Linked DNA regions of Oryzias latipes. The protein of the gene in region 1 interacts with the protein of each later gene in a pairwise test. Links are inferred from orthologs where the notes say so. Each region holds a gene or a part of one and is shown in the gene's direction. Other genes may lie near its edges.

Region 1 (6,220 bases):
ATTTCCAGATGGAAAAGCGGGATTCATGACTCCGGAGAAGGCGTCTCCACTGCTCTAGAGTTCAGTGGCGGCGTGCTTTACACCTCTGCATCCGACGCTTTGCATTGCACTTGGTGATGTGTGGCTTGGATGCAGCTGCCCAGCCATGGAAACCCATTCCATGAAGCTCTCTTAGTGATTTACTTGGGCTGATCTGAAGGTCACATGAAGTTTGGAGCTCTCCAGCAATTGACTGCAGAAAGTCGGCAACCTCTATGCGCTTCAGCATCTACTGACACCTCTCCGTCACTTACGTGGTCTACCACTTTGTGGCTGAGTTGCTGTTGTTCCCAAACTTTTTCATTTTGTTATGATAGAGCTGACAGTTGACTGTGGAGTATTTAGGAGTGAGGAGATTTCACCAATGGATTTATTGCAGAGGTGGCGTCCTATGACAGTTCCACGCTGGAATTCACTGAGCTGCGGAGAGAGGACCATTCTTTCAGAAATGTTTGCATAAACAGTCTGAAAGTCTGAGTGCTTGATTTTATACAGCCCAGTGATTAGGACACCTGATTCTCATCATTTGGTACATTTGGTAATACAGTGTATTTGTTTAGCCTGTACTGAGCCCTGAATTTATTTAGTCACACCATACTCTTCACTGGTTTACATGAAATGTAAGACATGAGCAAATTCCAGTTAACAGCCAGAATTTAAAATGATAAAAAAAATCTTCAAAGGTAGAGAATCTTTTTATTCTTTCTCTCTCTCTCTCATCCAGCCCTGTTTGTATTGTGTAATCCAGAGGCATCACATCTGGGCAGTCGGCATCATAGCTTCAACATTCCTCTTTATACTGTGCTAATATTGGTGGTTTATGCTTTTTATCTTTTGTGTTTTTATATGTGTATATATACATATTTTAACCTGTCAAGCACCTTGTGACTCCTGTCTGTGAAAGGTGCTATACAAATAAAATGTACTTACTAATATATTTGTAATATCGTTTGACCATCAACTACTCCAATGTGGTCAGACTGGAGGCCTGGAACTGGATTCTAAAAACAAATTCAGTTTTTAAAGAGGGTTTTCTGGTAATCAGGACTTTAGTTATTTTATGTCGTCTGCAGTGGGACATTCTGAGTGAAAGAATGAAGCTTGGATTTATGAATTTAGCGACTAGCTGCAGAAAATAGTGTCCCTTCCTCTTCTACGTGTGCTCTTTACCACCTGGGACGACGGATATTTTTCCTTGTATTTGTTTTTATACCTTGGTATTTAGTAAGTGGCTGCACAGTGGACCCTCTTGCCTCACAGCAGGAAGGCCCCCAGTTCAAAGCCCGGCTGGGGGACCTGAAACGGAACACCAACGGGGACCTTTCTGTTAGGAGTTTGCATGTTTTCCCTGTGCATGCGTGGGTTTTCTCCGGGGACTCTGGCTTCTTCCCACCGTCCAAAACATGCTTCATAGGTAAATTGGTTACTCTAAATTGTCCATAGGTGTCAATATGAGTGTGTGTGTGGGTGTGTGATATGTGGCCCTGAAACAGACTGGCGACCTGTCCAGGATGTCCACTGACTTCACCCATGAGTGGCCGGGATAGGCTCCAGCAGCACTGGAAAAGGACTAAATGGGTTTAGAAGATGAATGAATTGATGAAAGAAAGTATTTACTAAGTGGACTGTAAACAGATAAAATCCCTGCTTTGTTTCAGAGCAAGGTAACATGTTTACTAAAACATTAAACTGGAAGTATAAAAATACCTGCCCATGTAACAAATCCATTGCATATTTGCCATAATAATCTAAATGACATCCTTGAAATTGTTTTTTCATCATTTCTTACAACTGCGATCAACTGTACAAGTCTGTGGATTAATTGGGTTTAATTCTAACTTGCAGAGGTGTTGTGGTTTAGTACTTTCCAGCATTAACCTTACATGTTTTAAAGGTCATATTGTCTGGACATTGGACAGCTTCCTTCAACACCTTTCTATTTTTTCACTTTGGAAGCTACGTTCTGCCATGTTTAATATCTTTTTCTAGCAGAAAAAATAATGAAGGGTGGACATTCTCCGTCAAAGGTGTTAAGTTGAGCGCAGAATTCATCGTTCCACAAAGTATGAGAAGCTGTGCAGGTTCTGGAGCAGCATCAGCACCACACGTTGCATTAAGCTGGAGGTGCATTGTTTAAGGCTGGTTTTTAAATGTTTCGCTGACGATGGACCAATGGGATTCCTGAATATAATTCACAACATTTTTGGCTAAAAATCCCGAAAAAACAATATTAATTTCTGCATGATGTGACCTTATAAAACTGAAAATTTTGATGTACAAAACAATGATTACTTAGCTACGCGATAGAATGAGTCATTCCATTTTCTTCCTTTTCGTTCAGGCATTAACCTAGACGCCTTCCTCTGCAACTGTCTGGCTGTTGGGCTTGTCAGGACCCCGTCTCTTGTATGGACATAACAGTTTTAGATTTCCGCTGAATTCAAAAATTATGCTGCAGAGCTTGTTGTTGTAAACTTTTAATCATCTCGTAGGATCAGATTTTGCAGCTATAATGTCTTTACCTCCAGAAAAAACCTCCGAACTGAAGCAGATTATTCAGAGTCACCTGAAGAAGGTAAGAAAATTTAACGCGCTAGTGTTGTATCCTCTGTTTTCAAGAGTTTGCACTTTAGATTTACCGTCCTTTATGATTATTTTTTGTGCATGAATTCTTATAGCTGTTATGTGTTTTAAACCCCGACCACCCTTCTGACCAACAACAAACAACTTCATCAAATATTTAAGATGGCATTACTAGTAACTTTTCGAAGGAGGAATTTTTTTTCTTCAGATTCCCAAAGAAGGGTTGAATTAAAAGAGATAATCATAAAAGCTATGTCATTTCAAACACTACTCTCATCACTACAGCAGCCAGCTAAAAAGGCAATAACAGAGATCAATAATCATAAAAGTCAATGTTGGGATTGTGACCCAAGGCTACAGCTGTTGCGTTCGAGGATCATTAAGAACCAACATGTTTTATGAAGTTGGAAGTATATTTTTTAAGTTGATTAACCTTTTCTTAAACCTGAGTTTTTTTTAAATATATTGTAACGATCCAGCCAGACCGTCACTTAAGCGGGGTAGCGTAAACCAACTGCTCATGAGGGAGAACTGTCCGAGCCCCATATACCGCACGACCCCGGTTGGTCTCAGACAGGAATTAACACAAGCAGAGGCACAGTCACCTTTCGAGCATCAAGCCCTATTATTCCAACACACTCAAACAGTCTAACAGCATGGACTGTCGCTTCAGTGCACAACCCTCTGACTCAAGGTTTCACCCTAAAGCTCCCCACTTCCCATGAGCCTTAGGGGCTGAAGGCGGGGCCAACCCCTCAGCTCAACATACATTAGGGCTGCACGATATGAGGAAAACTTGCGATATGCGATATTAGTGATCAATATTGCGATAACGATAAATTTGCGGTAAATAAACAAATAGAAAAATAAACAAAAACATCATTCCCATTTCATTGCAACAGTTTAAAAATTACACTCCAAATGACCCTCATCGACATGGGGGACAAACATCTAACATAATAGGCCTCCATCTGATTGGTTAACAATGGAAAGGCGTCCATCTGATTAGTCAAAGCATAAAGGTATTTATTTGATTCGTTAAATGCTTCAAGCTGCTAGAAGATTGTTTTAACACATTTTGGGTTTGCGATTTATTGCGATATTCGCCGTCTTTTGTGATATGCATATTGCAGAGCTGGATATTGCGATAACGATAAATTTGCGGTATATTGTGCAGGCCTAACATACATCATTATCTTCATCTTCTATGTGACATTAAAGCCTGTGTGATTGTAAAAACCTGCGGCTCAAAAATCTAGTTACCATAATCTAAAGCTGTTAGAGGACCCACTCCAAAGAAAATGGTGTTTTTAACATGTTCTTGTAGCATTTTTCCGATGATTGTAGACATTTATAAAGACAATTAAGATTAAAATTGCATTTCTGAGTATCTCTTTTAGATAGATAGATAGATAGATAAATGACTTTGTTAATCCCACAATGGAGAAATTTTAATTATCTGTGGCAGCAAAAACGACATTCAGAAATAATCTATATAATACAACATCAAAAAAGGACATCAAAAATGACATTCATATTAAATTATTAAAAATGATTATTAAAATTATTGTGAAAATTATTATGACAATTATTATCAAAAATGAGATTCGTATTAAATATTAAATAAATAAATACAGCTTCAAAAGTGTAAAAAAAAACACGTGATCAACTGTATAAACCTGTATCATGTAAAACATTTTAACAAATTATTTTGAACTGATGAAAATAATACAGTTTGAAAATGGTTGTAGTTGAAGCTACAGGCTCCCTGCTCTGCTCTATTCTGATGCATTCACTGTCAGACAAACAGATCCATGTACGTCTTTGTTTTCCTCGTCTGAGCTGGAATCTGGCTTAGATCTGTACAGCAGGATAGCGCCGATATTGCTCGCCATCTTTGTTGCACCGCTAATGTTAGCTTGGGGGTGTGAGGGGACTGTAAGCTAGCAGGAGAGAATGTAATCATAGGGTTAATGGGAAATGATGGCAGGCTCACTCCACACCAGCAGTCCTGCCCACAACTTGGAGGTGAATTTCTAATGAACTCCTGCCGCTCTGCAGAAACTATGTCCTAACAAGATTAAAATACCACTGGAAACAATTTTACAATAGAGCAAAAGATGATTGGCGTAGATTTTTAAGGCACAGTCCCCATGCTTGGTCTAACTGCTGTCTGTTCAAACTGTCTGTTCCTCTTCCCTGCTGAGGTTAAGTTCGAGGAACTTCTAACACAACCTTTTATTTCTGTTCCTCAGATGAACATCCACGGGAAAATCCAAGAGGTGCTGGCGGAGACTGCAAGGGTGGATCCCGGCTCTGGACGTTTGTCGGAGGAGGATTTCAGACGTGCTCTACAGCGCAGAGGCATAATAGATGATGTGATGAAAGACCTCCGTTTCAGCCAGGTGTTCTCGCCTCTCACTGACAGATCACATGTTAGAAACGAAGAGAGCTGTCTCTATTCAGAAAAGACTGAGGAACTCTATCACTAACTGCCTGCCTTTGTAGGAAAAAGCAACAAAAACAGCATCAGGATTTCCATCTAAGCCTTTCAGTCATTATGGTGACAAAGAAATGACCGAGCTGAGACAGAGTAAGAGAAATTATGATGCGGTGCACAGTGTCGTGTTTGTGTCATACTTGTTTTAATTTTTCTTACTTCTTGCAAATCAACGTAGACCCATCAAGGCAGTACCTGCATCTCCAAGTTCTTGGTGGGAAGGCCTTTCTGGAGCACCTGCAGGAACCACAGCCGTTACCTGGTCAGGTGTCTTCTACGTTTACACTCTACCTACATTTCCGCGACCAGAGGTTTGGATCTAAGCCTGTGCCCTGTACCTGTGAACCAGACATGAGGGAAAACTTCCTCCTGGAACTCTGCAGGGACAATGCAGGTAGGAGGAAAGTAACTGTTTAGAGGTTAGTGAAGATGAGCTTGAACTTAGGTTCCAGGCTTAAAAAATACATCTCCTCCTTGAACCTAATCATGACTTCTTTTCTTGTTAAAGATGGAGGTAAAGTGATGGATGCAGCCTCTATGCTGTCTATATGCGACCCTATCCACTTTGTCCTGATCAAGACGGACATTTCTGGTGAGACGACGCTGGTGTCGTCCTATTTCCTGGATTGGAGGCCAGTTCTCAGCTCAACAAACAGCAAGACTTGTTTTGCTGTGGAGTTAATGGGAGTTGGTAAGCCACCCTGATTGTTATGGTCGGATAAGCAACCCCTACTTTTAAATAATATATTACCTTTGGCACACTAAAGAATGAATTTATTTTTAAATGAGTTAATTTTGTAGGTCATTTTCCTACCTGGAAGTAAAACGTCTCGATCTCTGCGGCTCCGCCTTTCTGTCCTTGTGGGTGCCGCCCATTTCATGACATCATCCTCGGCAGCATGTCTGCCTTTCACCCACAAAAACAAACAACATCTGAACTTTTGCAAAGATGGATGTTCATATTGTGGAGCAGGGCTGCTCATTCCTGGTCCTTTAGCTCTACCACCCTGTCTGTTTTCCAGATCTCCAAGCTCTGCTAGCTGCTGAATGAGGGTGTGTGTGTTAGCGTGGGGGTGGGTTGGCACCGCAGACTCTTCC
Region 2 (6,431 bases), on another chromosome or scaffold:
CTTTGGAGAGAGATTCCTCTTCACATGGTTTCATTGTATTGCTTTCTTTGACAGGAGTAGACGAAAGCTCCTGTGAGGAAACAACAGACGTCTGGCTTTTAGTAGACCAGCCTTTCTTTTTCTTAAAGTCTTCGGGTCCTGGAGAGCGCAGCAACAAAAGCCCATTTGTTGCTTTTGAAGGAGGAGTTCCAGAGAGAGTCGCTTGTGGGGAGAAACTGGGACTGAATGAGGCGGCAGAACACGGAGAGCAAGACTGCAACTCCTCGAACGAACAGATGTTCACCTGGCACGGACTGGGAGGCACGGCGGCTTCCTGGGACTGAGCGACGATGGCCGTGTTGCTGTTTGCACGACTGTGAGCGAGGAGCGTGTGTTTGAAGTTCTTGTAGTGGTTTGGAATGGTGGAAGAGCACTGGAGGCCATCTGTACATTCTGTGCAGACATTCAAAACAAAGAGTTAAAAAAAAAATGACTCTGTGGGCAAGATAGCAAATTAAACACCTTTTCCGTGTTGTTTTCTAGACATCAGAAATTCGCCTATGACTTGTGGTTGGGACCACCAGTGCAAAGCACCCCCGCCCCCCTTCGCCTCCCCATTGCTGAGAGTTTGAAGAAGGGAGCTTGTAGCCCGCCCAGCATATTTTCTATGTTACACATACACTCTTTTTCAAACAGCTTTTTTGTTGGTCTGCTCCTGATTCACAACATCCAGTGGGTAACCCACATCTTTCATGAGGTGTACGAGTCAGAGAGGCTTCCGACTAACTGAAATAGAGCCGTTATCCTGCCCCTCTGGAAACCCAAGGGTGATTCCTCACTGTGGAATATCCTACAGACCCTTGGAGCACCACCCAAGATTGTTTCTCTACTCAGTCTGCTCTACAGCAACGCAGAGAGCAGTGTCCGTGTAAACGCCAAAGACTCAGATTGGTTTCCCATCTCCAGTGGCGTTCGCCAGGGCTGTGCGGCAGCTCCTCATCTTTTTGACCTCATCATGGATCAGCTGATGTCCCGGGCCCATGAGCAAGTCCATGAAGGGTCGCAATTACCATCTGACTGACCTGGAGTATGTATGCTGATGACACAATCCTGCTCAGCATATCCCTTAGCCGGCTAAAAAACGGTCTAAGCATTTACAGAAAAGAAGCCAAGAAAAGAGGCTTGGTTGTTGCCTTAGTTACGACTTGACTAAATGGAACTTTTATAAAACAACTAAAGACACTTAGAAAACAATGCAGTGACTCTTGAAACTAATGAGAACAAAATCGAACTTTTTCCAAATTTAGAAAAATGTTGAGTTATCTTCAATTTTTTTGTTTACTTTTTTTTAACAGATAACCCTTATAAAAACATAATATTTGGGGGGGGGACTCAAAACAAATAATTTATAGTAATATTTTATATTGCATGGGCCAAAAATAATTTTATTTAATGTACAGTATAGGTCTCAGTATTTATATATGATTTTTATATAAATATTCTATCCCTGCTGTTATTCTGCACCTTGTAAATGGGACCTAGGAACAAATTTGTTTCATAAACATGGTTGATGAGACAATAAAAAACTGCTTGATTAATTAAATCAAGTTTTTATTGTTGATCTTCAATCCTTTAAAGTTGTATCTTTCACATTATTCATATCAGATTGCACCTATGCTTTTATCTTAAAGGAATGACAACAGTTTGCCAATCTTCAACAATTATCCTAGATGTGTACGTTTGTTATAAGAGCACATATTATTGCAGAGGAAAACATGAACACGACAATCTAAGTGTTAGATCCATTCGGTCAGTTTGAGGGTGAGTTTTATCTGGATGTGTGTACCTTTGCATTTGTCCCTTGGAGTGTCCAGACATTCAGCGATATGCCATCTTTGGGTCTGCACGACCAAAATGCTGAATGGCATCTGGCAGACTGGACAGAAGTCTTCTGATGATGTTGGCTCCTCGACAACATTGTCGTTGCTTTTTTGTGTGGAGTCTTGCGTTTTGGATGCATTAAAGGGTAAATTGTGAGACTTTAAGCTGCTTCTGGCGTCTTCGTTACCGGTTGTGGTGCATGAATCCCTCCTTTCTGCTGCTTTGTTCAAACTCTTATCTGACTTAATTGAAACAGAAGTTTGCTTCTTAGTTTTCCTGGAGGTGCTTCTTGTTCTTCTTTTGGTCCCAGACGGTGAGTCGTTCCTTTTTCTTTTCTTCTCAAGGGGTCTGTACTCCCAAATGTCATTTTCAGAGTCGTCCTTCTGTGACATTTGGACAAGAGACAGTAACGCAAGCCTGTTATTACACAAGTCCTAACGTTTGGTAACATTCCGCGGCAAAGAAAATACTGAAAAACGAGTTTGTTCGTAAATATGATAAATGTTGTAAAAAAAATACTTGCGTAGATTGTTAAAAATACACGGTGTTACGTTTTCTCCACATATTTAGCTTAATTTGGATTTTTCAATATATTTCTGTTAGCATGACTTGCCGCCAAGGTGTGTTGATAAACTAAGTGAATGTAACTAGCTTAAAACGGTAACAGTTTCCAAAAGAGAACTATTTTTCTATGGTGTATTATTTACATAAAAAACATATACATATTTTTCCTCAAGTAATATTCCTATAAAGCAACCACAGATTAAAATATATTTAAATTTATATGTTTTTGCATTATTATTTTTCTTGTAAAAGTGCTGTTACGAATTTAAGTACTTGTATACGTAAATCACAGCCGAAGAACGAAAGGCGGAGTCTTTTGTGATTGGCTCGTCACTACCAAGCAACTGATGACGTGCAGACATTCCAAACGCCTTTTGAAAACATGGCGTCCAAGTGTAGCCTCTCCACTCTGTTTCCCATTCAGAGTCAGCTTGATTGTGACCTAGAAAACGCCACTACGCAAGAAGAAAAAGAGGAACTTGTTCACCAGTTTTTGGAAAGGGTAGACGAGAGGGAAGACACGAAGATTCCTGATTTCCAAACAGGTTAGACCCTCTAGCATCTTTTAACTTCCGCATAGCTCTGTGTTATTCTGTCAAAACACCTTCTCTAAAGTTTGCTAACTACATTTTACTACCATTTTAAATAATTGAGAACTGAACACACAGAAGGCACTTTCTGTTGTTGGATTCAACCATTTTTAAAATTTTCATTTTTATATCATTTTTCTCAGGTTTCCTGTCTTTTTAAGGTACAGATAACCATCTCCCCTCAACAGCAGCTGACAAAAGACTTTGGAAAACAGTTTACAATAAATATATGTTTTATACTAAAACATTGTAGCATTATAACTAACAGTTTGCTCTCAATTTTATTTACAACCTATGTTTTTTCAAGCATTTTTCTGCGAATCTGAGGTTTGTTTTGTTATCTTATTTAATAATTACCTCACCAAATAACATCACAACGATCCAAAGTAGACTAAAACAAAGTAGGCTGTTAAAGGTAAATTATTTTAAATGTATTAAACACAATGTATGTATTTATTCCTTTTAATGTTAAACCCACCAGTGGAAAAACTCTCCTGCCACAATTTAACCACAAATGCTCGTTGTTGACAGGCAAGTAAATGTTATTCCTACCTTTTGATGCATCATAGATAACAGCAGAACTGCATTAAATTATAATTTAAAGGGGAAAAAATTGTTTGTGAGTAGGAGTTTCTTTAAGCTAAGTTCAGTAAATCTCTCATCTTAGTTAGTATCCCACCTTACCAGTAGGGGGTGATATTTTTCACATACGAGACAAAATATTTAACTTCATTAAAAAACAATTATGTTTGAGGATAAAATATGTGATATCTTAAAAATTCTTGATATTGTCTAAAGCAGGCATTGTTTTTTCAACAAACCCTGTCCAGATATCTTTTGGTTGACACACCTGATCCAGGTAATCAGCAGTGGGGGGAGGGCAAGGTCCATCCCTGTAGTAATTGCTGCTTGGCTGTGTATAAAAAACTTGCAGTAGCACTTAATCAGGCATTTATGAAAACTAGTGTTGCGTCAAAAATGTAGCTTAGGAGGTATTTTGACCTAACTATCTTTGCAGAATTTAAACATTTAGAAAGTTCCGTCCTGAAATCCCAAACCATCATATTACCGCCACCATGTTTCACTGTTGGTTGGGTGTTAATTTCAAAAATTGTCAGCCTACATCTGATGTTACAATCTTTCAAAAAGATGAACTTTTGTCTCATTAATGACAATATTTGCAAACTTGTGCAATAACTTTGGTGAAGTTATACTGTATTTTAGGTCAGCAGTGCTTCTCTTCTTGGATGTTTGTCACATTGACGGTTTTCTTTCCTTTTGTTTTGTTAATTTATGGGGACTGCTTAGAACTAAGTTTGTTAATTAAATGCTGGGCAGGGCTCTGTTGTGACCTCCCGAGTGAGTCGTCATGTATTGGAGATATAGAGAAGGTTATTCTGTTTGTTTTGTCAATTCTGACAGATTTTAAGTCGGTCCAGTTTCTGGAAAAATGTGCTGCTTTTTAAAATATTTTTGCACATTTGACCCTCAAACAAAGCTCTTTTAAGTGATTTATTCCTCCCCCTTCATCTATTGGTTTGAGAACTTGAAGCCCAACTGAACACACAGAACTGCTCTGTTACATCAACTTATAGTTTCTCCACAAAGTTCCATGTTTAGATTGCTTTTTTTTTCACGATTTGTTATTGATATTTTTTGGTTGATACCAACAATTTCAGTTTAATACATTTTAGTTTCACAAATGTGCAAAAACAATTTAATAGAAGTAAGAGGCACATGTTTTTTATGGACTTTTAGTGTCAGCACTTATGTATTTTAAAATATTTTCTCGTTGTAACAATTGATGCATAGATTTGTAAAAAAAACTTTTTGCTTTATTTCACAACCCTCATATCTTCTTCAGTGTGTTTAAGAGTCTCTGTCATCTAGTTCGTAGAAAAAAAATGTGTTGTAAGAAAAAGAAATAGAAGAATTTTGTTGATTGGAGATTAAAAAGACATATGTTTGCACACAGATTGATACATTTAAAGGGTGGGTGCATTTCTGACCTGTTTTAGTTTTGTTCTAGGCTTAGAGTGGCTGAACACAGATGCGCCGCTGTCTCTAAATAAGGATCTGGCCGGGAAAGTGGTGCTGCTGGATTTCTTCACTTACTGCTGCATCAACTGCATGCATATCCTCCCTGACCTGCACCAATTGGAGAAGAGACACTCAACTCAAGGTCTGGGCAAATTGTTTGCATCCACTTCTTCTGGCCACAAAGGATTTTTTTTTATTTAAAAAAATAAATAAATCACATCATCTTTTCTTTTGGGGAAAAATAGTGTTTCTAAAAAGTTATGCTTTTTATTTTTTTATTTGAAACCCTTTTAAACAGACCAAGAGGAAAAACAGTTGAATTTTTTTAGCCATTTGGACCTTATCAGGTACATGAAATAAGTCATTATCTACAACAGGCAGTAAAAGCTTGAAATTAAAAGATTAGCTGCATTTGAAGAATAATGTCTTTTCATCGCCCAGTACTCCCCTGCTTTTCAGGATTTAACAATAAGCCATCACAATCATAATTGCTATGCATAGTTGAAAGATAAACAGTGTCAAATATGCTTTTATTTTGTAGAGGTTTGGTTTCAAATTTGGATTGGCAAACTGTGCTTTGCTCCGTTTTAATAAAGGTTTCTTTAAACTCATTAAAATAGATTTTAATTAAAGATGTTTAGCTCCTACAATAGAAAAAAAAACATTTAAATGTGTTTAAATCTTAATGAAGCTGCATCATTGTACTGACACATTGATAGATTGGCCTGCACATTATTTTTTTTTTTTGTATTTTGATGAAATCTGGGGCTCATTGAGAGCGGCAGCAGCAGTCTGGCAGGTGTTACAGAGTAAAGGCAGCTCGAGTGCGGCGTTGTGTCACACTGCATCAGGGGAGCTGGGAAGCGAAACTAGAGTATAACCTCCTTCTGCTTCTCTTCCAAGTGCAGGAAGGTCCTTATCTCCTCTGTAAAAAGACAGCAGCTAAAAATAAGCTCAAGCTGCACTGTAAGTGACTACAATGACTTTGTGCTGCTGTAGTTGTTATCACTGCACTGTAATCGCCTCTTTAGCAGCGTTATTTCATTCAATTAATCACAAACTGATACTGCAATTCTTTCTGTTTTTATAATCAGATCCACTTTTTGATAACAAGAGAAAACGACACATTTTCTAAACTCTTTTCATTGTTCGGTCTTTGCTGAAGTCCTTTTTAGTTGACGGTCACACGGATGCTGCCGCACAGCAGCACACCCGCCTTATCTTGGCTCTGCTATGGGTACAATGTGTTTGCTGCTCTGGCTTCTGAGGTGTGGGGGCCGTCCTGTCAGGTCACTCCTGCAGAACGACCCCGCCGTCACGACAGTCTGCGCCGCAGTCGACTGGCAGAGGTTTTGAGGGCTGAAGCAAACTACAATT
Region 3 (5,382 bases), about 4.2 Mb from region 1:
GTGGAAAGAGATGGTGAAATACGTTGACTGCACACAAAGGCAGGAGGCGGGGTTCTAGAGTTAAAACTAAATTTTGATCACACGATTATAAAAACTCAAGACGTTTTTTTTTTAACTTACATGCACACCATAAACTAAACAGAAATAGTTCAGTCGGCAGAGGACCTGAATAAATGAGGGAGGTGGAGGTTTTAGACGGACGGACGGACAGTTGGAGTTTATTCCAGACTCGTAGTCCAATCAATAAAAGTACCCAGACCCACTACATTAAAAAAAGCAGCATGTCAAGAATACACCAGTTAAGAAGCAGTATACAAAAATAACAATAGTTAATGAAAAGTAAAAGAGAAATTCGTAAAAAAATATATGAATAAAATAAAAAGATTACTTATGCATAAAACACCATAAACATTAGACAGGCCCTCCAGTGTTTCCATATATATATATATATAGATAGATATCCTCTTTTGTCTTTTTTATAGATGCCATCTATCATCTTTTTTATCATTATGGGACTTTTTTTAGACTTGTAATTTTCATACATGCTAAGAAGCTAGACTTATCTGAAAAACAAGTGCAGGAATATGGCATTTTTTGAAACAAAAATGTCCTCGACTCAAGTCTCTTCACGTTTCTTAGTTCTTAAACAGTGGTGGAGATTCTCCTGCTGGTCTGAGATGAGAGGACGCTCCAAGAGGTGGCTAATCACAGACCACAGTTCCCAGCATCCATGAAGCTTTGAAGCCTTGTGAACTGCATGTACCATCAAAGTGCTTCAGACAAAAAACAGCTAAAGTTTCAAACCAGTCCCAAGTATTTATTTAAACCAGCACACCCTAACTTACTTAACCACCTCGTGGAAAAAACAGTTTTCTGTCACCAAGTGGTTCATCTCTGCCACTATAGATTGTTTTCAAAGCTTTGGTGTAGGACCAAAGGATCCTGACAACCGCAGTAGTGAGCCGTCCTCCGAAGACTATCGGTCACTTCTCTGCTTCGGTGAAGGTCTGGCGCCTCACTTATCCTTGGAGCTGCGGTCTACCGGCGGCATCTGAGCGGTTCCGTGAAGCAGCAGCAGTCCACACAGAGTGAGGCTGATGCCTGTCCACCACAAAGGCCCGTGGTTCTCCCCAAACATCAGCCGCCCCAGGATCCCCTGCAGCCGGACATTCAGGGTCACTGCGTGATCACAACGGCAATGAGGAGAAGCGAGGTGCTCACAGAAAAGATGAAGCTGGAGCCGGTGGTGGTGAGGGTGGTCCTGGCTGTGGAGGAGGAGTGACGGAGGGCTCTGGAGAAGAAGGTCCACATCAGAGCGTTGCAGCTGAGCATCAGGCCACCACACAGCAGCCGCAGCAGAACATGGATCTGCCGGGACAGCAGGAAGCCACCATGACTCTGTGCTTACAAAGCAAAAAAAGAAATAAAACAGCCCAACATCTAAATGACGACACTTTTGGTCATCTATGCTCAGTCCTGACGGCTACACTTTAGGTAGGTACCACAAAGGGTGTCGCTGTGCATGCCGTTTACTTCACCATTGAAGAACTTGGTTTTGGAATTGGAAAATCTACAGTGTTGATATATGTGTCGTGGTGCTTACTGACATAAGTTATACTCTGATTTCGATTTAGAACAAGGTACAGTGGACTTAGTGGACATTTGTGAGCCAACGGCAGCTTTCTCATGACTTTTAATCGATTTCACAGATTCGTGAAAGCTAAAAGATAAACTAGGGCGCCAGAACCACCCCCTGAACTTTGAGGAAATTTTGTGTGACGTTCATCATTGCAGACCCGAATCCCACACCTCCGCAGTAAGGAGAGGTCACAGGTTCAAACCCTTAATACAGAATATTAAACTGCACTCGGCAGACGTAAAGCATCTAACATAAAATGAACGATCTTCTGAAAAATATTAAAAATTGCAGCATCACTTCAATAATGTCCTGTGAAAAATTGATGGTGTTTAGTCAGAGTACAGACATGGAAGATGTAGTGTTGTGATTACCAAGTTTTGTATCCACAAACAAACAAGACCATCATCAGCAATATCTAAAATATTAACTTGCTGAGCTTGAGGTCTATTGGGCTATTGTGTTTATTATCTGTGTTCGGAATTGGAAGCTCCATCGTTTGTGGTATCTCTGACTGGACCACAGAAAGTTGTGGCTTGTGCGGTCCCTACTTTAGGGCCATTCACCTCTTTCAAACATCAATTCATTTTCTGTTTGCTGTTACCCATTGGCTACATGCGGCCCCCCCGGGGACGTCGGCCTCGCACAGCTTCAGGAGGTCCCCCCCCAGGGACAACTTGGCAGCCAGAGAGGCGGCAGCAGCCAGGAGACCGGCCGTCAGCGCGGACAGAGTCCCACCAGACATAATGAAAGCAGAGCAGGAGACCGACTTCCGTTGACAGCAGGGTCGAGCTTCCGGTGATGGTGACATTTCAAAATAAGAGCCAGAAGCTCATCAATAACACACTCAAAACCAAAAATGATCTTACATTTGTGGGCTTAAAACATTCACTGTTTGTTAGGTCCCAATGAAAAAAATCCTTACTGAAAATCCATGAAAGGAAACAAAAAACATCCACGTAACTCTTTTATTCTGAAGTGCCATATTTACCCGGAAGAGTTCGTACTCAATTCCACCAGTTAGAGCTGCCCTCACCGTCACGAGGGGCTGCTTCATGATGATGTTTCCGTGGGTAGAAGCTTTGGAAGCGTCTCATTGAGGATGGATAAAAAGAGGAGCGGCGGGGTTTCGTGGGTGAAGCCGGCAGAACCCACCTTCCTGAAGAAGTTCAAAACGGACGTTGGATACAAGGAGGGGCCGAACGTGGACACCAAGGTACCGAGAGGCGGTTCCACGAGCTGAAACGACACCGGAAACGCTTCTGTCCTACAACAACAAAGCCGTGAATTCACTTTGGGTTTTATCCGTTTAGTCCATTGAAAAGCCTTGACGTAGATTCACGAGGACAGAAATCGCCTCTGCGTCGACGATTGAAGTTTAATATGCTCCTCATTTCCAGTATTTTCAGTCACAGACACACATAGACATACATAGACAGATTCATAGTCACATACACAGATTGGTGAAGCCAACATCAGCCCAGGAGGCCCAGTTGGTGATCCGCTCATCCTTCTGATGATGCTGTTGTGTAGAACTCAGCGTCATCCACACTGCTATGAAGGGGATTCGGACCTGCAACACCTGCACTGTTTGACCAAAAGAGTAAATCCTTTGAAACGAATGTCCCATCAGTCAAAATCTTGTTCTGCTCCTCAGCGCCAGGTGATTCCCACACCTGAGGATGACAGCGGCAGTGATCGAGAGGATGAACAACCACAAGTTGTTGTTCTGACAGACGGAGACCTGTCTGCAGAGATGATCAAGGATATAAAAGCTGGAGGTGCAGCAGAAAAAGGTAAAAAAAAAAAAAAAAAAAATTTCTCCTTCTGAGTTGAAGCCAACACCCTAATTTCTTTACCTGTGCACCACACCCTCTACCCTCAATTGCCCCCCACAGATGAAAAATCAGACGGTAAAATCCTCTTCAAGAAACCAGCCAAGCGCTCTTCTGCAGAGAAATTCCAGGGTATCTCTGCCAGCTCCAGCAAGAAGAAGAAGAAGAAGGAGGATGAGGAGGAGGAGGGAGGAGAAAGGGAAGGGGTTGAAAAGAAAGCAGGAAAGAAAATAAAAAATATCAGCCTTCTTTCATTTGGAGGGGATGATGAAGACGAGGAAGACTAAATGTTAAACAGACTGTTGGGTTCTGGTCCTCCACTTCCTGGCTGTTGGTTTCCAGTCACCGCATACCTGAATACCAGAATCCGAAGAACCAAACCAGAGGCTGCATGATGGACCAATCAGGACTCGTCCAACCCTCTGCCCTGTCCCCAAGGCAAGAAAACTGAAACCTTTTTAAAGTTAGCATCAACGCTGCCGTTTTGTGAAAATGTTCAGAGTTTTACTGTTTTTTCCCCGTTTAGCATTAAACATTTGAATGATCGGACTCACTGGTTTTTTCTGACTCATGGAAAAGCCTGGATAGCGCAGCAGCATCATCTCATTGCTGAGGTCTTCTTCAAACCGGCCTAGCTCCAGAAACCTCATTCCTGTGACACCAGCCGTTCTTTAAAACAGACTCTGAAGACCTGATCTGTTTCTACAAGCAGCTTCTCACAGAGAGAAGATATGAATCATCATAAAGCTGAGCTAAAGTTTCTGATGCTGCTTGTTGAATGGTCTTTGTAATGCATCTACAGCGTGTGGCCCCAGACACGTCAAAGAGCTGGAACTGTTAGGTACAAACAGGAATCCACATATTTAAACCTCTTTATTCAAAAAGGCATGTTTCCATCACACCTGCATCCAGATCCTCACAGTCAAAGGAAGAGTGTTGAACGGATGAAATTACAACCAGATCGAAGACCGGATCATTGGACTCTGCAGCCTCTGGCCCACACAGCCTTCAGAACCCCGTTTTGGGAGCGTTCTGATGCTGGGTGCACTTAAATGCAACAGGAGTTAGTTTGCACAAACCAAACAGTTTCTGTGGAAAATTTACTGGAAAATGTTTGTTGTTGTGTAACGCTGCTGCAGCTGGGTTCACCAGAGTATCAGCTGCTGTGACAAACACCAGAGCCTGATGACACTTCCTGAGGATCCACGAGCAGGAGGCTGCATGCAGACATCAATGGCGCCAGGCCTGCTCTGAGCTGCAGTCAGGATTTTAAACTGTAGTGGATGCAAAATTTTCCTGAAAACTTCAAGTGATTTTTGCTCCGATTGTGATCTTGGGAAAATGTTAGTAATTGCTGTAACATTTAAAGAGAACATCCAGACAGGCAGGAAACCCAACTTCAGGTATCCAGGTCCCTCGTATCTGAGAGACGGATCTGGAGCCGGCGCCAAGGCCAGCAGACTGCATCCCGTGCAGAGTTTGAACATGTGTGTAGTGTTTGTCTGCATGTGTGTAGTGTTTGTCTGCATGTGAGTAAGCTTGAACTAAACAGTGAGGTTGAACCAGCTGTGAGTGTGAATGCATCAGGCATAAACACAGACTTAAAAATGCTCAGAAAGGGCGTTAAATGCATGCTGGTCTGTTGAATGCCAGCTTTGTGTTTTTTTGCTGAGGGCAAGCAGTAACCATAGCAACCTTGAACAAATGCTTCCATAAGGAAATCTTTGGTGGAGAATTATGTAATGAGGTGCAGCTCATCAGTCCTGCAGAAGCTAGACCTGCTGGTCCACGAACAGGAAAGGGGCTGTGTGGTTCAGGTTCAGACACGGTTCTGCAATCGAGGTGAAAGACATTTAAGAGAAGTTCTGGATGCAGGACAGCTCCCATCACATCCAAATATGTTCAAGTACA

The links.
Region 2: the proteins of cep76 (region 1) and nhlrc2 interact in binary tests that used the Homo sapiens proteins (3 or more experiments, as listed by UniProt). The two-hybrid records come from large-scale screens. The link is inferred for Oryzias latipes from reciprocal best matches to the Homo sapiens genes CEP76 and NHLRC2.
Region 3: the proteins of cep76 (region 1) and kiaa1143 interact in binary tests that used the Homo sapiens proteins (3 or more experiments, as listed by UniProt). The two-hybrid records come from large-scale screens. The link is inferred for Oryzias latipes from reciprocal best matches to the Homo sapiens genes CEP76 and KIAA1143.

What each region holds. Positions count from the first base shown.
Region 1 is NC_019874.2:5,535,631-5,541,850, forward strand, and holds the start of cep76 (centrosomal protein of 76 kDa), read left to right. Parts: upstream 1-2,412; 5' UTR 2,413-2,551; coding exon 2,552-2,614; intron 2,615-4,877; coding exon 4,878-5,027; intron 5,028-5,130; coding exon 5,131-5,215; intron 5,216-5,300; coding exon 5,301-5,516; intron 5,517-5,630; coding exon 5,631-5,813; intron 5,814-6,220. UniProt on the Homo sapiens protein: Centrosomal protein involved in regulation of centriole duplication. Required to limit centriole duplication to once per cell cycle by preventing centriole reduplication.
Region 2 is NC_019877.2:5,392,949-5,399,379, forward strand, and holds the start of nhlrc2 (NHL repeat-containing protein 2), read left to right. Parts: upstream 1-2,769; 5' UTR 2,770-2,806; coding exon 2,807-2,969; intron 2,970-5,043; coding exon 5,044-5,196; intron 5,197-6,431. Other genes in the region: dclre1a (DNA cross-link repair 1A protein), read right to left, coding at 1-432, 1,826-2,252. UniProt on the Homo sapiens protein: Required for normal embryonic development.
Region 3 is NC_019874.2:9,744,783-9,750,164, reverse strand, and holds kiaa1143 (uncharacterized protein KIAA1143 homolog), read left to right. Parts: upstream 1-2,639; 5' UTR 2,640-2,738; coding exon 2,739-2,852; intron 2,853-3,293; coding exon 3,294-3,432; intron 3,433-3,534; coding exon 3,535-3,758; 3' UTR 3,759-4,020; downstream 4,021-5,382. Other genes in the region: transmembrane protein 42, read right to left, coding at 1,016-1,156, 1,222-1,368, 2,241-2,381.